Solanum lycopersicum: one gene and its partner. The protein of the gene in region 1 interacts with the protein of each later gene in a pairwise test. Links are inferred from orthologs where the notes say so. Each region holds a gene or a part of one and is shown on either strand. Other genes may lie near its edges.

Evidence for each region. The genes of interacting proteins can lie anywhere in the genome.
Region 2: the proteins of mediator of RNA polymerase II transcription subunit 25 (region 1) and ethylene-responsive transcription factor ERF098-like interact in a two-hybrid assay, tested with the Arabidopsis thaliana proteins (2 studies listed by BioGRID). The link is inferred for Solanum lycopersicum from reciprocal best matches to the Arabidopsis thaliana genes PFT1 and TDR1.

Annotation. Positions count from the first base shown.
Region 1 is NC_090811.1:29,961,751-29,967,496, forward strand, and holds the end of mediator of RNA polymerase II transcription subunit 25, read right to left. Parts: intron 2,793-5,746; coding exon 2,706-2,792; intron 2,590-2,705; coding exon 2,128-2,589; 3' UTR 1,744-2,127; downstream 1-1,743. UniProt on the Arabidopsis thaliana protein: Component of the Mediator complex, a coactivator involved in the regulated transcription of nearly all RNA polymerase II-dependent genes.
Region 2 is NC_090802.1:1,254,923-1,259,140, reverse strand, and holds ethylene-responsive transcription factor ERF098-like, read left to right. Parts: upstream 1-1,196; 5' UTR 1,197-1,366; coding exon 1,367-1,909; 3' UTR 1,910-2,198; downstream 2,199-4,218.

The DNA of each region.
Region 1 (5,746 bases):
TTCAATTCAAGGAGAGTTAAGAGTAAAGTTTAGAAGTTAAGAAGCAAGTCAAGAAAAGTTAATAAAGTTTTCAAAAATCTTTTACAAACGTTGTTACTTTGTTTTAAGACTTAAGTTCTAAAAAGTTTTGAAGTTCATTTCTCAAAAGAAGTATATGGAAACTAAGTATACCCGAGAAGTTTAAAATGTTTTCACATTTGAGAAAGAAAGGGAACACTGATTCCAAGAGAGATTTTAAGCTAAGATTTTAGTAATTATCTCAAACCAAAGAAAGAGTTTTGTTTTTACAAATACATGAGCTATGAATCTATTGGAAGTAGTATTGAACATCGATATGGGGATGCGAGTTCATAGCAACTCAAGTCTCGATAAACCATGTAGCCATCATGGGTAGTAAAGAATCATAAGCTAGTGCATCCACTAAGTTAAGTGTTCTATATGACGGAAAAGTATAAGACAATTGTGGCAGTATGGGCAATAAGTTGTATCACCCCTTAGGCTCATAGTGATGGTAATCTGTTAGAAAATATCCCATAGAAACTATATTACTTTATTTTATGAGTAAAGTTGAGTTTTTTATTGCATTGTCTTTAACAAACTAAGTTGCTTTTATTGTTTTATAAATATCATCATATATTGCATGTGTTTCAAGGCTATATTTTGAGTTAAGTTATTCATGAGTTGAGAAGAGTCGATGTAAGTGTTTCTTTTGGAATCCTTTTCAAGCTTATGTATCGTTTAGAATTCCAACTCACATACTCATACATTCAATGTATTGATGTCAGTTAGCCTACATCATATTATGATGCAGACATAGGTAACCAAGATTAACATCCAACGCTTTGTTGATTAGGTTCAGCACTCAAAGTCAATTGGTGAGCCTCCTTGCTTCTAAAGGTCTCTTTTTTCATTACTTTATAATTTTTATTTGTTAGGATGATCGGCGGTTCTGTTCCAATATCCCTATTTGTTTTAGAGGCTTTATAGATAGTTAGCAGTTCAATAGTCTTTACACTATCATTCCATATGTGAAGACTTGAGTTGCCATTTTGGCCAAGTTGAATGTTTGAATTTTTAAGCGTTCTTAGTATTTTATTATTCAAGCGAGTATAGTGTTATTGATCATTATAAATATATATAGAGTCTTTATCTGAGTAAGTAAGCCAGGACAATGGTTCACTTGAGGCCAGCAATTATTTTTGAGTGTCGGTCATGTCAATGGAGTGTTGGTAGCAGGTGTGAAGCGCACCATATCTACAATTACGAGGCCGCGACACTAAGAAAATATTCTCACTTCTTTCATACTCTGAAAAATAGAGTTAGGCTTTTCGAGAAAGATCACAAGAAAAATGAGAATAGGAAAAACAAGATTCGCCAAGAACGATTGACTGTAGATTTTGCCAAAGAATTGATCCTACAAGATAAGTGAGTCTTTCAAAGCATTGGGTCCGTTCACCCACGCGCCAAACATGTTTAATTCTGTGAAATTCGTTTTAAAAGTTTTTGAAAGTTGATATTCTTGTTATGTATTCTTGAATTTGAATGTCTCTCTTTAATTGGGTTGAATTGAAGAGTTTCTGAGATCTTTGCATTGAGTTATAGAGTTATCTTGAGTTAAAATCTAAAATGAATTTGAGAACAATAGTCGAGTTTAGAGAAATTTGCGCTAGCAAATGAAGAAGAAAAGAATGGTACAAGGCGTCCCTACACAGCAAAAGTTACTCAGTCCTAGCAAGCATAATGTAAGGGAAACACATTTTAGTAAGTCATATATGATGGTGAAATCTAGTGAAATGTTGAACCTATGACGTGAATAACTATAGTTGAACAAAAAACCAAAAAGAATACTGATGTTGAGATCAAAAGAAAATAGATTGGTGACCAAATATGCAGTCATGTTCTCACGCCCACGCCCAGAAAATTCCTCCCTCTTCCCCTTTTATTTTGCCTTTACAGCCGCCCCAACCTGATTTGAAGGGCACAAGTAATTTCTATGCTAGAGTCTATAATGAATTTGATTACTTCGAAATTCCATTGTTAAGATATGCACCAAATGCATGGCTACACTTTTGGAATCAACTGCCTGGTCTCACATTTGTACAATGGTTGTCTAGTTCTATGACATTTTCAATTCATAAACCCGCCTCCTGGTATGATTGGCAGTCCTTGTGATGAACCTTGACTCTGAGACATTAGCTGTGACCTTGCAGGACCTTGCATGTAGGTTTGGTTCATCCCTGTTCCAACCATTGGTTGCTGCTGCTGTTGCTGCTGCATTTGCGGAATCTGCTGCTGCTGCTGCATTTGCGGGATCTGCTGCTGCTGCTGCATTTGGTGAATCTGTTGTTGCTGCATTTGGGGAACCTGTGATTGTTGCAACGGAATCTGCTGTTGTTGCTGCAGTTGCATGAGAGGTTGCTGCTGTTGCTGTTGTTGCAGCTGTTGAAGGGGTTGCTGTTGTAGTTGCGTAAGATGCTGCTGCTGCTGTTGCTGCTGTTGCTGCAACTGTGGATGTTGTGCTTGCAGCTGCTGCTGTTGCTGCTGTTGTTGCTGTTGACTTGGTATCTGTGGCTTAAACACCACCATATCCTGAAGACACAAAAATAGCATTACACCGAAGGCTCATGCACAGTAAAACCATTCCTAAAAAAATTGTCAAATTGATCATCAATGAAATAATGCTAAGAGTACATAACATTTCTTACCCCAGGAAAAAGCATTCCAATCAAGCGGCAGGCTTTATCAGAAACAGACAGAAGCAGTGTCTGCGATGGGAGTTGTATTACCGCACACTGGACAATTTGTGGAAGACCACAAGCTTAGTTCATTGAACCAGTTAAAGAAAGAGAAAGCTGTTTCTGGAACAATTAACAAATAACAGAACAAGATTGATGTAAATCTAAGAGCTCTATTACTAAATATAGCCTGCCTCTCTCCAGATATACACAGAGAAAGTAAATAAATAAATCAAGAAGAGGAAACTGGGGAGTGAGATTGCTCAATGCATTATTGTCAACAGACGGGTTAGAAAAGAACATGCAAGCCACCCGTGTAGCTAGGTCTTCTTTAGAATAACAAAACAATTTCACCAAAAAAATTGTTGAGATGCATGTTAGTTCTGATGCAGATTTCAATTGTAAAATAAATTCAGTTCTCATAGTGGATCTTTAATAAATTTGAAGTTGCAGAGATAGATGTCTTAAGCAGTTAAATCTTTATGTTTTGCTTAAAGATGCGGAATAACCAACATATACAAATGCCATATTTTTTTTCCCCAAATAAAAAAGAGATTAAGTGGCCATAGGAATGTCATCTGAATCATCATTTCTCACAATGATGCAAAAACAAGACTGCTGTACTTGGTAAGATCTTCAGCAAGGTTATCACATGTTCACTAAAACAAATTCACCCATCAACCAAACAGGAAGGGAAAAAGTAGTTAACTTGTGTAGTCACTTGAGTTCAACTAACATTTGCAGTAGACTCGCAAATTCTGTAGACAATGCAAAACACCCACGTGAAACTCTAATCTGCAGCTACCTGATGTGTCAAAACTCAAAACAGTTCAACCAGTGTTGTGAAAAGCGCAGAAAAGCGCGCTTCAAAGCGAGGCGACCCTTGTGCGCTTTTTTATCTTGAGGCGAGGCGATCTGAAAAAAGTTCTCGCTTCAGATGAAGAAGCGAGAAGCGACCCTAAGGCAAAAGCGGAATAAAGCGCGCTTTTTATAAAAAAAAAAAGCGACAATTAGGTTTTTTTTAAAAAAATAATCTGAAAATAACCTTCTCTCTCCTCACGACTCTTCTTTCACGACTCTTTCCCTTCTTTCTCTCCTCGCGACTCTTCTTTCACAATACTTTCCCTTCTTTCTCTCCTGACAATCTCGACTGAGGCTGCCTCTCTCTTCAACCTCGACCGCAGGTATCTTTTTGTTCATCTCTTTTTTAGCTAACGTTTATTAGTTCATCTCTATGAGTTTCTTTTCTCCTGAAATATACAATCTTCGTCTGTACTTCATCTCTTCATCTCTCTGAGTTTCGACTACTCTAGTTTTTTTTTCTTCTTCTCTTCTTTTCTTCATCTCTGCTGCCTCCTCTGTTTCTAATTACTGACTGTTGCCTCCTCTGTTTTTTCTTTTCAATTCTTTTGCTTTTTTTTTTTTTAAATTTTGTGATCAGTCTAGCAGTCTTATTGAAGAATAGGAGTTTGAATCTTTGTGATTTAATTACGTTTTTGATTTTTTGCTTTATATGTTATGACTTATGAGTATTTTTGCCTATGTAATTTCTTCAATCTTATGTAATTTCTTTCAATCTAAGACTATATTACCTCTATTTAGTTATTTAATATTTTTTTTATTTTTATACTAAATGTCACTTTTTTTAAAAAAAGAGCGCGCTTTGCATCACGCTTCTCGCTTCTGCGAAACAAGCCCTCGTCGCTTTTTTCCGCTTCTCACTTCTGTGAAGCAAGCCCTCGTCGCTTTTTTCCGCTTCTCGCTTCCCAAAACACTGAGTTCAACATTGATGCACTAGAATAAGCCTCATTTTTAAATCCACATGAAAGGGAAAAAAAACTGTGTTTCATCTACTCCAGTCGATGACAGGCCTAAACATAATTCACAGACAAATGCCAACTTCCACGTGATTTAATACCACAAGGTACCTATTTCAATGTCTGAAACAGCAATTAGTGAAAACAGCTACATTTACCTCAAATAGCTATTCAGTAAATCATATTGTTACTTCATAAGACTGAAAACTGCAGCTTTCAACTTGAGAACTTGATCTCTCCTTCATTGGTCAAGAGAATGGCATGGTGTCTCCTTACATCGTTGTTAATGTATGTGATTAAATAGATGGCATCTCTCTTTACCCTCTGACAGACTATCTACTTTTGGATATTGTGTTCCAGTTGTGGACATTTGGTGTCTTGGGAAAGTAATTAAAAAAATGTGGTTCGTATATCTAGTGTACACAATAATATCGGGCTATCGCAGTGGCAACAAATTAACTTATATGGATCAAGCAACTACTGAAGGAGTTGAAAATCGGAAACACAAAAGGGATGGAATTTGTGTGCAATAATGAAGTTGCAGTTCACATTGTATTGAATCTAGTGTTTCACAAGAGGACCAAACACATACAGATTGATTCTCATTTTGTTAGAGAAAAGGTACTTACTCTCAGAAGGTTCCTGCTATAAGTGATCAGCTTCATATATACTCACCAAGTCCCTAGCCAATCCTAGAACAAGTTATATATCTAAGCAGCTTGGTACATATAATTTGCATGCACCAACTTGAGGAGTGTCAGAATCCTGGGAATATTCTATATCGTGTATAAATAGTAAGTAGCTTGATTTATTCCTATTATAATTGGATATTGATTTATATTGATTTCCTTTCCTTTTTTGGACATGTAAACTTAGCTATTTAAACCTCAATAGCTTGTGAGGAAAATGAAGTTGAGTTCCCTCTAAAACTCTTGTTTTCTCACAACATTATGATACTTTGCTGCATCATGAGAAAATTATGTTTCTATCCAAGTTTCAGTCACAAGCACCTTGACTTTTGTCTCTAAAAACATCTCTACAAGATTAAACAATCTTCTTCGAGCCATTCATAAATGTTGTTTTTTCTACATTTTCGTCTACACTGTTAGAGGGGAGATCCAACCTGTGACTATATGTCCTTCTGGTGAGAATTTATTATTCTCATCTTACAATCCACTAAAGACCTTATTACAC
Region 2 (4,218 bases), on another chromosome or scaffold:
ACAATCAGATAAATATTAATTTATTTGACTCTCGTTCTCATTATCAAGCCAAACAAATTACAACAAAAGAGTGTAAATTATTAATTTAAAACCGATAACCTTAAAAGGGATTAGAAGTCCAAAATCATACACTTCAAAAAATAAACATTGAAAATACATATAATCAATCCCAAACTCACTCAAACCAATACATAAATATGGTCACTCTAGTACATTTTCTTGAAAATTATAATTATCCCTTAATTATATTATATTCCCTTTATCTTATGAAACTAATAAGTTTTAGCTGAGGAGACAAATCTTCTTAAAGTAAGATCCAAGGAGATCATAAGAATCTTATCCAATTTCTTGATAAGGTGGGAGAATCAGTCTGTAAAATACGATAATTTGTTGAACTCGTTTAAATTTAAATGATTTAATAATCTACTCATTTATTAGGTTAATTGTTCAATCCTAATTCATTTCAGCTCATAAAATATTGAGTTGATATACTGTCCAAATAATTCATAAGAATATATATATATATATATATATATATATATATATATATATATATATATATATATATATATATATATATATATATATATATATATATATATATAAAATTAAAACTTAATAACTAATAAGAATTGAGGAAATTTGTAATGATACGTTTGTAGATCATTTCAGCCCAAGCTACTTTTGAGTGAGACACTATAACTCGCTAATATATTAGTTTGATCTATTTTAACGTCCAAATTCAGTTCAACCCGACCATTTGATACTAATTATAATATATATATTCTTGAACATTACATATTAGATATGTGTTTGGCTAATTATATTATATTATAGTACCACCTTACAATATTCTTGCAACCTCACTATCATGTTGATCAACAAAATCTATCTCCAAGAAAAAGTTCCAACCTAAAACACTGTATAGATATAAAGTTTTAGCAGTGAAAAGTAGCTTCAACTATTTATCTCTATCTTTTTTTCTTTGAATATATATAAGCATAGTAGTATACTAGATTTGGTAGAATAATTATCGAATTTTATTGACATTTTTTAAGAGACTTCCATGCAAAGAAAGTTCTTTTTTTCTAGATACCCATTATAAAACAACACAACATAAGTTTACAATTTAAATTATATACATACACTTTTAAGTATAAAAAAAAATCCTAATAATTTCTTGTTATAACATGTAAATGTGATTTGATGGTGTAAACACGTGATTAGTCACATGTGGCGTGATGGCATAAAAATGTGATTATTTACATAGTGTAGTAAGACAAAAAAAATAAATAAAGATTCATTGATTTCAACAATCTTATGAGTCACAATCTCTTTAGCTAGCTCTATATAAGTAGACATTGGCATGTCCAAAATTAATATGTCAATGTGGTGTGTGCCACCAAAAAAAAATCTCTCACATATAATAATCAACATGGATAGTAGTTCTTCTTCATCTTCTTCTAAAGGAAAAAAAGTGATACAATTAGAGAAAGAAAATAGCAAGGATAGTAATGATTTGATCAAATATCGAGGCGTTCGTAAACGTACGTGGGGTAAATTTGCAGCGGAGATACGTGACCCAACGAGACAAGGGGCTCGTCAATGGCTAGGGACGTTTGATACGGCCGAGGACGCGGCTAGGGCCTATGATAAGGCAGCATTTAACCTAAGGGGACATCTTGCAACTTTGAATTTTCCAAATGAGTACTACTCTAAGCTTAATGATCCACATTATTATAATTATCGTACATCATTAAATGTTAATATTCCAAGTAGAAGTTTAGAGAGGGGAATTTCATCAATTGGTCATCAAGACAAAGAGATTATTGAGTTTGAGTATCTTGATGATAGTGTTTTAGAGGAACTTCTTGGAGCAGAAGACCCAAAAAAGATCATAAGAAAGTGAGGTTAAGTTTTGTAATTTTTAAATTTTTAAGTTTAATATTTCTCGTGTGTCAGATGAACCTTTATATTATTGGAGGAAAGGAATAGCGATGAATTCCTATATAGAGTATATAGGAAAAAAGCTTCGAGTTTCTCCTCGTCTTCGTTTTCTTCTTATTCATCATCGTTGTCGTTTTTAATTTCCTTTTATAAACATATTTGTTATTAAGAACTTATTTTGTATAATGTTTGCCTTAAGAGCATGAATTTAAAGGGAATAATATGGTCAACGAAGAGTTGATATAAACAAACCTCACCTTGTTTGATACTAATTAGAAATAGTACTTGTTTTTTTGTTGTATTCAATACATATTCAATTGGAAAATGTTCATGTCGATTTACGTTGCGTATGACTCACTAAGACAGGAACTATACTCTCTAGAAGAAGTTTCGATCCTTATTCATAAGGCTTACTGGTGAAAGAACATGTAAATATTCTGTTATATTTTTTTATGATCGTCTATCTTTAATTTTTTTCTTTTGTTCATACCTTAATGGGTTACTTTGATTCCCAAATTTTATTTTATTTTTTGTTATGAAAAAATAATCTTTGTGACAACTATATAAATAGAGTGTTTGACCAATTGGATGCAAATATTGAATTTCCAATTTGAAAAAGCTTTGGGGCCGGAATTGAACTATATATTCCACTAATAATATTTGACTTATATTGGAATATTTATCAGAAATGGTCAAATATTTGACTTAGAATATTTAGGATTTGGTTTTAATATATGATAGAAGATGAAATAATATTTTAACTAATCAGATCAGAAAAAGAACTCTCGTATTAGACAAAGAAAGTAACAAAATGTGATATACTTGATCCTGGTACATAACAAATATAATTCAACATGTCACATTTTAGGTGAGACTATATGATACATTTAATTGTGATCAGATTAAAATGTACGTTTGTGGAAAATTATAATATTATCTTCACTGAAATTACAGTATTTATGTAATGCATTTGAAGTCAAACAAAGATTAATGACTATGATATATTTAATTTTGTGGCTAATCATCAATTATGTTGTGTGAGTTTTCTGATGACATTTTGTTGTTCAGATGTAGCTAATTTACTTATTTTTTGTATTTGTATAAGATTTTTTTTGATATATATAATGGTTAATCGTAATTAAGATGAATTATGAATTTGATGGCAAATTTAAAACAAATAAACTTTAATTAATATCATTATGGACATCATCTTGGGCGGTATTGCTTGTGTCGTTTCTAGTGTGTAATATCTATTTAAGTAAGAAAATCTTTCTAGTAAGATTTTTTCTGATTGTGTATTCACATATCGAACCTGATAGATTTTTTAATTTTTTCACATTAAAACATAGGCATATTTGTCAAACCTAAATATTGCGTTCATCTTTTTCTTTATCTCATATGTGTGATTGATTTTATGCCATTGACAGGTTATCTCAATAACAGCTACAAAAATCTCAACAAGAGTTGGGTCAATTTTTATTTTTTAACTAAAGATTTCGAATTTGAACTCTAAACATAAAATTTTCTTTGTTGGAAGAGGTTTTTCGATGCAAATTCAGATTTAGTTTACAGACTGAATAAAAAATAAAAAATTTATATTTAGTGAAATTAAAGAAGCTTAGCTTATGTATCAAAAAATCATGCTAAATATTCTGTAGGACTAGGCAAGAATAAGTGCTAATATAATTAAGGTAAATTTCAAAAAAGATGTTTCAACTCGATGTTAATTTGACAAAAATATGAAGGAAAAGTTTCCAGATTAAAGTGATTAAGACATTACCTCTTTATTTTTAACAATAATGCAGCAATTTGCTAAAACAATTATTCGAATATAAATGATTTTTTATGGACTAAAAACAAAAGAATATAAATTATTTTGTCTTACTGATGATTCTGAATCCTCTTTTAAGATCAGGTGCATGATATATATTAGATATATATTATTCTAATATGTTTAGAGGAATTTACCAATGTAGATAAATGTGCAGTAAAATTTTTGAATTAAAGTTCATGTTTATTAATAAGATGAGCATGCTTGTTAATTAATAATGATTAAATGTTAAAAAAACATATGTACAAATATATATCATGTATATATTGAATGAGTGTAAACATTTAGTGTTGCTAAAATTATTTTACCCTTTGGATACACTAATATATCATTAAATTATAGTTACTATACCTTTTCACCTAAATTTATGACTTAATCATGATAAATTAATAGGATTTAGCGAACATACCTAAGTTCTGAATTTTCAAACAATCAAAACA